Drosophila melanogaster: one gene and its partners. The protein of the gene in region 2 interacts with the protein of the main gene of each other region in a pairwise test. Each region holds a gene or a part of one and is shown on either strand. Other genes may lie near its edges.

Region 1 (3,754 bases), on a different chromosome or scaffold from region 2:
ATATTCTGATACCCATTTTTTATGGTCTTTATAGATTTAAATGGTGAGCCAAGGCTAAGGCTAAAAACACTTCATAATTAATGTTAATTATTATTGGAATTCTTACATAATTCCAAAAATTATGACAGTAAATTTAAAAGTGGTATAATAAGACATTAGAGGCATTCGGCATATAAGTTGTCATAAAAGTTAAGTAAATGTGAAAATGTATTTATAACTTACAATATCATTTTAGGGATCCCGCCAGTCCCGTTTCCCGCACGGGAAAATCGATGAGCGAGCAGGATGTCTATGCCGAGCTGCCCCAGAATGCCGATGAGCGTACTGGTCGTCTAGTGGATCTGGCCGTCTCTAGTGCCGCCGACTTCCTAAGCACCCACAACCTGGAGTTCAAGCTGCCCGCCGAGACCACCCAGCAGGTGGCTCGTGCCCTCGATGAAGGTGGGTTTTGACTTGGGATACGATAAAACATGGTTACCTAACATCCAATCACAGGCCGTGGCAAGATCAAGAAGATGCTGGGACCCGTGGCTCTGGCCATTGGCGCCAAGCTGTTCGCCGTCATTCCCCTGGTGCTCGGGTTTCTGGCCCTGCTGACCTTCAAGGCCGTGATCGTGGCCAAGCTGGCCTTCTTCCTGGCCATTCTGGTCGGCGGATCCCGCCTGCTGGGCGGATTCGGCAACAAGTTCGGAGGTAACTCCTTTGCCGGAGCCTACAACTCGAACGCATGGTCCGCACCCGCCAGCGCCGGCTGGAGCTCGGGAGCCTCCTCGTCCTATCCCTATGCCCGCAGCATCAGCGAGGATGGGTCCGATGCCCAGCAATTGGCCTACGCCGGCCAGCAGCAGCAGTAGAAGCGGCTGGGAGACAGCTCAAACAGATGTGCCTTCGTTTTGAAACCTTTAGCCTGTAGTAATTTATTCGAAATGTAATTAACTAATTTATTGACACACCACGCACACATCACCCGCAAGTCAAGTCGAATGTATGAATAAAACCAAGAGTATTGCACCCGAAAAAAATATAATCCGCAAATCCACGCACGTGGACAGTGCTCACCTGTGCCCAGAGACTTTCCCAGTTTCCCAGGGCTTAATTGAAATGCTGACAGACCCCAAAACAAATATGTGGAACTTTGCTCGCTGGGCGGCAACAAGTTTGCGGCTGGCAATTAAAACTTGTGGCAGGTTCTGTTTCTGAACACAAAAAAAAACCCAAAAGAACACAGAAAATGTTGAGAAAAAGAGCTGATAAGCTGGGGATTTAGTTTTTGGCAAGTTGGTGGCCTGCTCATAATTGGAGTTTCTAGTGGCCATGTGACGGCCGTTCGGCATGTTAATTGTTTGCCAGAAACTTTCTACTTATGCTCATAAAAGTGTCACTTTGCGATTGAAAAGAGATATATGCGGCGATGTGCTACAATTCAGCTTTCTTTCACAGGCAGATTTAGAAGCAATTGAAATAGAAAACAAGCCACGAACGACAGTTGACAAAGGGAGAATGAAATCGAAAGCGTTGAAAGCGCCAGAGTAACTAACTGGGCCAAATTGTGCATTAAGTCACCACCGGCGGGGCATACCAAATACGTGTGGGTCTCGCAGATCCACCACTATATTCTCCGCTCCATCGTGAGCCCTGATGGAGCTAATGGAGAGGAACAACCGGCCAAGAATCTGGCGCAGGCAATCCCAACACGTAGCACCGGCGACTCCATTGAATGCCAATTAGGATACGGATAACGGTCGAGCACCCGAAATCGGGCCACTTGCTTATATAAAATATATGTATGGTATATACAAAAAAATAATATTCAGCCGGCCGACCACTGGCCACTTCCCTTTCGTTGACATCGCGACGTGCGTGGAAATATGGTCAAGAAACTGCCGGCCAGGTAGCATACGCATATGCTTTGCATAAATTGCTTTTGGATTTTTGGTATTGCCGTTCGGTATTGTTATTGTTATTGCAGCGGCGAGCGGTGCGTTTTGGATTTTTGGCCTGCCACGCGATTTCTAGCCACAAAATTGGTCAATCGACGTCAAATCGAAATGGTATAAAACGCGGGGGCAGTGCATTCAATTAATCACAAAGCGATTCCCGTTCACATCGGCAGCACTCACCAGCTCCAGGCAGCCGTCCCACGGATTATAACCTACCCAAAGTCAAGACACCCCCAAGTGCTAATAAAAATGTGCGCGAAATTCGTATGTGTAGTGCTGCTGGCCAGCCTTGTGTGCGGTTCCATGGCCCTTCCCTCCCAGGACAACACCGAGCGGGACCTGGTCAACATGCTGAACCGCTTAGACAGCGAGGAGTCCGTCGCGCTGTTCGGCGGTCTGAGGATCGACCGGTCGGAGTCGGGCCGTAGCTTCGGTGCATCCAAGGCCGTCGAGTCCTTCGAGGACCGCGCCGAGCGCTACCTGGAGACCCACGAGCTAAACCTCTCCTTCTCCGGCGATGAGCAGGACGAGAACTCCGAGAACGAGTACACCGGACGCGCCATGGATGGTGAGTGATCTTGGTTTCCTTTATTTGAAAAACAGAATATAGTTTAATCCAAAGAAAAAAAAGCTATTTAAGCTACTTGCTTTTAAAGTTTTCATATTGCGTTGAATATCTTAGATACTTAATATTAGGTCAGAATTTAAAAATTTGTATGTTTTTGAGAGACATAAATCGATAGAATGGTAGTAAATACGTGAGTTGATAGCCAAAGAATTTTGAAATAATTTTAAACGAGTTATAAGTTACATTTTTATTAATTACTACAAAAACAGAGGCATTCGTGCGCATACGAGAATAGCTTTGGTAAACCGTCCTGGCTCTCAAGTCGTTCCTGTTCTGTACGGTAAACGAACACTTCAAAGTCTACTTACTAAGGCTAAACGTACTAAGGTCCACTCTGCTGTGCAGAAAGCCAACTGCCAAAAGCAAAACTACTAGCATACTCAGTTGTGCTGACGGGAAGCGAAGTGAAAGCTTTACCTCGACTGCCAGGCCTTGAATACTTTTAGGAGCATGGCTAAAACCCCGATTTCTCTTTACTTTCTCCCTCCCGGAATAAACAGAGTCCCGCAGCAAGCGCATGAAGAAGATGCTGCTGCCCCTTCTTTTGGCCCTGAAGCTGAAGAAGGCCGTCGTTGTCAAGATTATGTTCACCATCATCAAGTTCATCTCGCTGAAGGCTCTGGCCATCTCCTTCCTGGCCCTCATCCTGGCTGGTGAGTTTACTTTTAATGATCTCAGGAATAGCACTTTTTACCCACGTTTCCCGCACAGGTGCCACCTTCTTCAAGGATCTGTTGGCCAAGAAGAAGGAACACATCACCACTGCCTACATCACCGGCAGCCCGCTGAACGCCGACATCGTGCACTCCGACTGGAGCCGCAATGGTCAGGCAGGTGCCGCCGATCTGGCCTACAACCACTATGGTCTGGCCCAGCCCTTCTAAGCCGGAAAACACCCACCGATCCATCCATCCCACTCTGTACTAGCCTCTATCTTTCACCTGCTATATCTTATCCTACCAAAGCGTCTCCCTTCTTCAACTTCCCCCCACTTCATCACCATTTCCACAACCTATCCCTCTAAGACTTTCCTGAAGAATGGCCTAATTCGTAGTCAATAATTATTTAGTTACATTTAGTTAGTTAGCTGCGACATACCAAAAAAAATCACAAAAAAAGAGAACTATTGAAACGGTCCCTCGACTCTTGGCTAGCCCAAAGGACAATGCTTAAGGATACTACGGCC
Region 2 (3,754 bases):
CGTGATTATGCAAAAAAGGGCACCATATGCCATTAACCCCAAGAGGAAATGTTTAAGATACCTAATACCTTGGGAGTCGCGATCTTGAGGCTTCTCTGAACAATTAATCAATCAGTCCATCAATCGAGTTAGCGGAACATTAAGTCATTAGCCTGAGCAATTTGTTTGCTTTAAGTGGATAAGGTATACGGCTGACTAGATAGTTTATGACCGGCTAATTGCTATACTTCTTGTTCTGGATCGATTTAAAAATAGCTCTCTGCTACTGTTTCTATTAACCCAATATCGGGTTTAGTCTTAGCAAAAGCTTGGGTGAATTAAAAAAGCTCTTCTTCAAGACGAAACCAAACTATCAGGTTTGCGATAAAATTGTTTTGGCAAAAAAATTAAGCTGTGATACGTGTATTCTTATGAATATTTATATTTAATATGACAGCAAAAAAATGAGAGTTTTAAATCCAAACTCCATGGCGTACCTAACTGATAAAAACAAGCCCCATATGGCGTCGTGGTCGAGGTATCTGTTTGCCCAATTAAACAAATTTTTCGACGCGAAGAAAAACGTTTCGTTGATTTATGATACTCAGCACTTCCGTTTGGATCCGCAGATTCTCCGACTTGTATAAAAGTACAGGAGTCGCCGGTCTAAGATATTATTCGGTTCGTTGCTCCTAAAGCAAACAGATCATCTAAAATGGTAAGGATCTCCCATCTGTATTGCGGATTATATTAGTTGGCATATTATTCTATTTCGATTTTTCCCTGTAGAAATTCTTTATCTTGACCTTGGCCGTGGTTGGCTGTGTGGCCGCCGAATCTGGCTACAACTACAATGCTCCCCGCCAGGTAGCCGCCTCTGCCCCGGCTCCTGTTTTCCAGCAAGCTGCCTCTGCTCCGGCTCCAGTGAGGACCTACGTGCCCCCAGCTCCAGCTGCCTCTGCCCCAGTGCAGTCGTTTGCCCCTGCCCCAGCTCCAGTAGCTGCTCCTGCTCCCGTTTTCCAGCAGGCCGCCTCTGCACCCGCACCAGCCCGCACATACGTGCCTCCCGCTCCCCATGTCCACCACCATGCCGCCGCCTCAGCTCCAGCTCCCGTTCAGTCCTTTGCTCCTGCTCCAGCTCCCGCCCCCGCCCCCGTGCAGTCCTTCGCCTCTGCTCCAGCTCCTGCTTTCGAGTCCTCCGGACCGGTGTTCGAGGCCGCAGCTTCCGCCCCCTCTGCCGCCCGCTCCGGATACGATTATAGCCAGCCCGCCGCCAGCCAGCAGGGATACAAGTACAAGACCGTCCGTCGCCGTGTGTTCAAGCACCGCGCTTAAACGATGATGATGATACGATAAAATGCGACAATAAAAAACTCGAATATTAAATTTATAAAAACATAGTTTTATTTGAGCATTAAAACACTAATAAAGATAATATGATAATTTGATAATTAAACAAGAATGATATGGTGTATAGTTTTAGCAAAAGAAGCGCGCAAAAAAAAAAACTATAAAACCTAAAACAACATTTCAAAAGTGCTAAAATTCTTGCTAGAAAAGAAAAAAAAAATCGCAAAATTAAATTTTATTAATAATTGTTAGTTAGTACTGGAGTGCAGTTTTTCTTATCCATAACTAACAATCAGTTGTTAATGATAAATTAGTTTGAAGCTTCAATTGTATTACTAGGCCAAATTCACACCTGGAAACGAAGTTCAAAGAACCCATGCGTTATCGCATAAGTGTGCAGCGCACTTGGGCCAATAAATTTAAACGCTTTGATCTGACAAATTTACGGGACACTTTCGTTGTGCTTCAGAATATTCAATAGAATTTAAATTGGCGGCTATTCAATAAGAACAAATGGGTCACATAAAGCGCGGAATCGATTTCTCACGCTCGGCAACAGGTTTCGCTTTCAACTGTGGTCTTTTTTGGGGGCTCGATGTGGGGATGCAACAAAAAAGATCCCGAAGAGAGTATATAAGTTGCATCTACAGCTGCTTACAGTCACTGGCACTTTAGCAATGGTAACGGATCAACGATAGGTTCTAGGTTCCGCATTTCACCAATCCATTTTTATTTTAGAATGTCCTCGTGATCCTGGTTCTATGCCTTATGGCAATCGCATGTCTGGCGGACGTTTCCCATGTGAAACACCACAAGCACCAGCGGCATCATCACTCCAGGGATCACGAAGATGACGATGAGGAGTCCCATTACCTACCTCCCCACGAGGAAAAGGAGGTGGAGCAACCTTTTTACAAGAAGGAGAAGCACACCAGTGAAAAGGTGGTTTACCACAAGGTAGAGGAGCACGAGGAGCCCAAATACTACAAGGAGCATCAACATGAAGAGCCCAAAAAGCAGCGAGTGGATCACTACCATCACTATGACAAGAAGCCAGAAGTAAAGACCCAGCACATTCACTACAAGCATAGCAAGCCCCATGTCCGTACGGATTACAATCAGGACTTGTTCACCCCAGCTGCTACCCAAGTGGTTTATCGCCGCCGTCGTCCTAGTCGAATTCTATACGCCAGTGCCCCCAACTCGGTGTTCCACACCCACACGCAGATCAACGTGCAGTCCCAGGATTCGGAATTGAATTCCCTTACTCGCCCAGATCGTGCAGCAGGAGCACAGGATCCTGCTGGGGCTCAAGCACCGACTGGAGCCCAGGCACCAGGATTTCGACCCAACTGCCAGTTTGTTGGACCTGGAAACGTACCACCTGGCTGTGGACCCTCTGATCCCATAGGTGCTCAGCTACCAGCCAGTGCTTTGGCTCCCACTGGTGCTAATCTTCCGGCCAATCAACCTGTTGCCGGCGGACAATTGGCTGTTCTGGGTAACGGTCAGCGACCTCCACGTCCAGGTGGCTATGGAGGTGGATATGGCAACCGACTCAACTTTTTTGTTGATCCTTCGCTGGGCGCTCAGCTGGGAGCCATAGGTAATGCTGGAGCTGGAAATCAACAGGCTGCCGGAGGAGGTCAGCTTGCGGGAGGAGCTCAACTTGGAGGGAGCCAAGGATTCGACCCTTCCTTTGGTGCCCAAGCAGCTGCCGGAGGACCATTTAACACTGGTTTTGGAGCTGGTCAAAGACCTCAAAGACCTGCGCAAAACCAATATGATCCCAACCTTCAGCTAGGTGGCCCTTTTGACCCCTCCGTGGGTGCTCAATTGGGCGCAGGTCAGGGTGTTTCTAACCAAAGACCAAGTGGACAGGGAGCATTTGATCCTTCTACAGGTGCTCAATTGGGCGCAGGTGAGGGTGTTTCTAACCAAAGACCAAGTGGACAGGGAGCATTTGATCCTTCTACGGGTGCTCAATTGGGTGCAGGTCAGGGCTTTAACCAGAGACCAAGTGCACAGGGAGCATTTGATCCTTCGACAGGTGCCCAACTTGGAGCTGGACAAGGCGTGCCTAACCAGCGACCCAATGCAGCTGGACCAGGAGCTTTTGATCCCAATCAGCGACAGTCCGACCCCTCCATTGGAGCCCAATTGGCAGCGGGACAAGTACCACGCCTCAACAACCGACGACAGCGCAATCGATCCAACTACCAGGGTCTCAATGTGCTGAATGGAAACGTTTTCGGACAACCCCATCTCCAGGGACCCACAAATGCGCTGGGAAATCAACAGGACACCAACATCATAGACGGCAACTTCTACAGCGATCCTCATCATGGACACCAGCGGGCTTTGGTATCGGTTAATCCTAATCAGCGTTCAGTCCTTATACCCGATGACGATGATGCGGACGATG
Region 3 (3,754 bases), on a different chromosome or scaffold from region 2:
GGAGGATGGAATGCTCGAATCTCTGCCCAGTTTGCTGCACCAGCATCGACCTTGTGTGGCCCACCTGCCTGTTTACCTGCTCCGCTTGGCCACCGAAGTGGACTGGGAGCAGGAGACACGATGCTTCGAGACATTCTGTAGGGAAACTGCTCGATTTTACGCGCAATTGGATTGGCGGGAAGGTGCGACTGCGGGCTTTTCCAGATGGACAATGGAACACGTTCTATTTCCTGCCTTTAAAAAATATCTTCTGCCACCACCACGCATCAAGGATCAGATCTACGAGCTCACTAACCTGCCCACTCTGTACAAGGTGTTCGAGCGGTGCTAGTTTAGGTTGTTCACTTCCAGAACTTTAAATATTGATTATATTTGGTATTCTAAACATACATATTTGCGCTTTGGTTATTGTGGTAAGGATATGATCTCCTGGATCATATAAACTTCTAACTAATCATATTCATAAGCACCAGGTGCATGCCTAAATATTCAGATCCGGCTGGCGGAGTCGCGTGACCCGTTCGGCGTTCTTGACGTGCTCCTTCAACAGCCCCATGATCTCCGTGTCGTACTCCTTGGGCGTGGGCTTCACCTCGGTGGCCCAGTAATAGATATCCCAGTCGTTGCTGACCCCGTTGATCAACTGGTCGTACTGCGCCGTCTGCTCGGCGCTGAAGTTCTGGAGATGCTTGGCCGCAAAGGTGCTCAGCAGAAGATCGTTCTCCAGCATTCCGCGCTTGCGCGATTGGTACAAAAGCCTGGAGGTGAAGTGTTTTTCTGGTTAATATTAAAAAATACTTATGGAAAGAATAGCTTAGTTGGTTGTACAACTGATGCAAAATTAAGAAGTGCGATCGATGATGAAGAAAAAAGAAACTTGGAGTTTAAATCCTATTTTTCTGTTCTACATTTTAAAATTAAAATAGTATAAATTTTTCTAAATAGAGGTTGTCATGCTTTCTTAAAAAAAAGTAGAGTTCATAAATGGAAGTGTTTAAGGCAATGGTGGATGAGAGCAAAGGGAAAATATATATATTAAATATGAGCTCTTTTAATTAATGATTTTCCTTATAAGTAAAGTAAGTATAGTAAAGTATAGAATAAAGTAAAGTATAGTTATAGTAGTAGTTATTAATTAATAGTTAATAATTTTACCCACCGTTGCTTGCGAGTTTCCAACGGCTCGTTTGGACGCACCGGATACTCCGGCAGTGGAAGATAATCCGGGTCCTCGTAGTCCACAATCACGTCGTTGAAAGTGCTGGCCAGTGGTGGTGGCGGTGGAGGAGAGTCCTTCATGTTGGACATGGAGCGTCTCCACGGGAGGAAGATCCAACCCGAAATATCCATTGTCAACTGGGCGTTACGAAAATAAAAATAGAAAATGTACATATGTAGAAAAACTGCATAAATTGCATTCAATTGCAGTCTTATGCAACCGGTTCGGGTACATTTCCAGGGCTTACCCGTAGTTGGCGCAGCATTCTGGGTACAGACAATTATGGAATTCTTAAAAATTTTTCTGTTCGGTGGGTATTTTTGGATTTGTATTGAGCTATCGGAAAATTTGAAAAATCAAAATATTTTGACAACTGCCGGCCGTTCGATTTGTGACTAAAAAACGAAAAGTGCGTTCTCTGTCTAACAGAGCTTTTTTTATTAAGGGCCTTCCTCTGTTTTATTTTTAATTAGCACTTGTTGATATTTATGGCATCGCCAGACGGCCATGCCCTCGCCGCCCATCCAGAGATCCGGGAATCATTGATAATAGTATTAAAAAGAGTTATAAAATAATTATTACAGTAAGCATCACAGTAATGTTGTGTGTTGTTTTGTGTGTGGTGTTTTTACCATCGACAACGTCGATTACGTAGAACTGGATTATACATGTTTTTGGAACAAATATCCCCATTAAAAGTAATGAGGTGATTATAAATCAAATTAATTTGAAATTAGCGCCTTACAATTTCTGTGTGGCCAATTAACAGCACTGTTAAATTTCTTCATCACACAAACATCGACGGTGTGACCGGAGTCGCGGCTGTAAAAAATACTGTTCAATAGCTGCGCGTAGTATTTAACCGGTTGGAGCGCTTCAATCGGTAAACGCAGTTGAAGGTGTTCGGTCGCTTCGCGCAAATCTCGCAGAGCAGAGATCGAAATATAATAGAATCGAGCGGTCGTGCGTGCTGCTGAAGTCGAAGAAAAAATTACGGGAAATCACGCCGCTTCGGTGAAAACAGCCGGCAAAATATAATGAGTTAATATTTGTTTTTTTCCGTTGTGTTTGGCGGATAAGAAAATCGCGGCATGAGGGATGCTGAAGTGATTGAGTGCGGTGTACTAATGTGCAGCGAATTCTGAGCGCGTAAAGCGTTTCGAAAAATTAAACAAACAAAATGCATGTTTCAATGGAAATCTAAGTAAAAAAAAGTTACCTGTTTGTGATTTGCTTGCCACCCCCGGTTTACGTGTGTTTGGTGTGAGTTCGAGTTTGTGAGTGTGTGAGTGTTGTGTTATTGTGTAAAAGGAAGGCTGAAACAACACGAAGGAGAGCAAGAAGAAGAACAACAACAAGGAGAGTCGCGCGCGCGTCTGTGTGTGCGTGGTAGCGTGTGTGTGAGGAGAGCGGCCAGCGGCATAATGCCGGCGACAGCGAATTCATGGATCTTGTTGCTGTTGTTGTTGGTCGCCGTGGAAAGATGCAGCAGCAACAGCAGCGGGCGCATCAATAGTCGCAGCAGCAGCAGCGGCTACAGGAAGGTCCAGTGGCAGGAGCAACAGGAGGCCCCCACTCTGCGTCCCCTTCCCGATAAAGGTACGTGTGCTATCTCCGTCTGGCTCATCTCCCTATCTCCCTCTTCCCTCTCGCTCCCCCGCATCTTAATTGTTGTTAATCTGCGGTGCATTAACCTGGCCTAAGTAAACAACTCCTCCCCCGCTTCCCCTCCCATCACACTGGCTGTGCCAAAAATAACAACTGCTCTCTCCGTCTGCCATCCTGTCTCTCTGTCGGTCTCTTTGTCTCTCTGTTTTTGTATGCTGTTAGTTCCCCTTTCTCCATGCCCCCTCCCCCATCAAGCGTCACTTCACTTTGTTATGCAAATTCCTTGGTTTTCTCGCCGCAAAATGCCGCAAAACAAATGAAAATAGAAACAAAAACAAGTGTATGCAAAATATTTTTGTCGCTTTTTTTGCGGTTTCGGTTGGAATTTTCGCGCAACGAGAATTAAATAAAAATATTTGGCCATCATGCAAAGATGCAGATCTCGAGGATAGTCAAAAAAAAAAGTAATTGAGCTTGCATTCTTTCCAAAGAGTTTTCAAGTATAAAAGTTGAAGGACTTATAGAGAAATAAGTCTTGTAAAAATGTACTGAATTAAGGTCTATATTTAATTAAAAACTGCACTATTTAATTGTTATATGTTATTCAAAGAGAAAAGAATAGTTATTAAAAATCATTAGAAATGTTACACTTGAACCCATCACTTGACATTTTGCATGTAAGCAAGTAAAGATACATATAATTCGTAGTTCGCGTCAGCCGCTGACACCGAATGAAATACTTATGACCGCGGAAAATTTGCGCTGCAACAACAAATAAATTTAAATAAATTATGTACATACATACAATGGACTTCTTGACTCGGTCGCATTATGCATGCACATGATCCATGACCCGGGGGTCCAAAAGTCTGCGCACAAAGGCCACTGCTGCCCCCATCTCGTTAAGATTGTGAAGAAGGAACGCGC

Evidence for each region.
Region 1: the proteins of CG11349 (region 2) and Osi15 interact in a two-hybrid assay, tested with the Drosophila melanogaster proteins (one large-scale study listed by BioGRID).
Region 3: the proteins of CG11349 (region 2) and CG14757 interact in a two-hybrid assay, tested with the Drosophila melanogaster proteins (one large-scale study listed by BioGRID).

The regions. Positions count from the first base shown.
Region 1 is NT_033777.3:6,299,724-6,303,477, forward strand, and holds the start of Osi15 (osiris 15), read left to right. Parts: upstream 1-2,080; 5' UTR 2,081-2,189; coding exon 2,190-2,508; intron 2,509-3,068; coding exon 3,069-3,221; intron 3,222-3,279; coding exon 3,280-3,452; 3' UTR 3,453-3,754. Other genes in the region: Osi14 (osiris 14), read left to right, coding at 236-441, 496-854.
Region 2 is NT_037436.4:4,471,071-4,474,824, forward strand, and holds the start of CG11349 (uncharacterized protein), read left to right. Parts: upstream 1-1,997; 5' UTR 1,998-2,006; coding exon 2,007-2,009; intron 2,010-2,067; coding exon 2,068-3,754. Other genes in the region: CG32248 (uncharacterized protein), read left to right, coding at 695-697, 769-1,314.
Region 3 is NT_033778.4:8,172,014-8,175,767, forward strand, and holds CG14757 (uncharacterized protein), read right to left. Parts: upstream 1,601-3,754; 5' UTR 1,485-1,600; coding exon 1,467-1,484; intron 1,357-1,466; coding exon 1,160-1,356; intron 759-1,159; coding exon 482-758; 3' UTR 351-481; downstream 1-350. Other genes in the region: Mlh1, read left to right, coding at 1-331; LRP1 (LDL receptor protein 1), read left to right, coding at 2,644-2,818.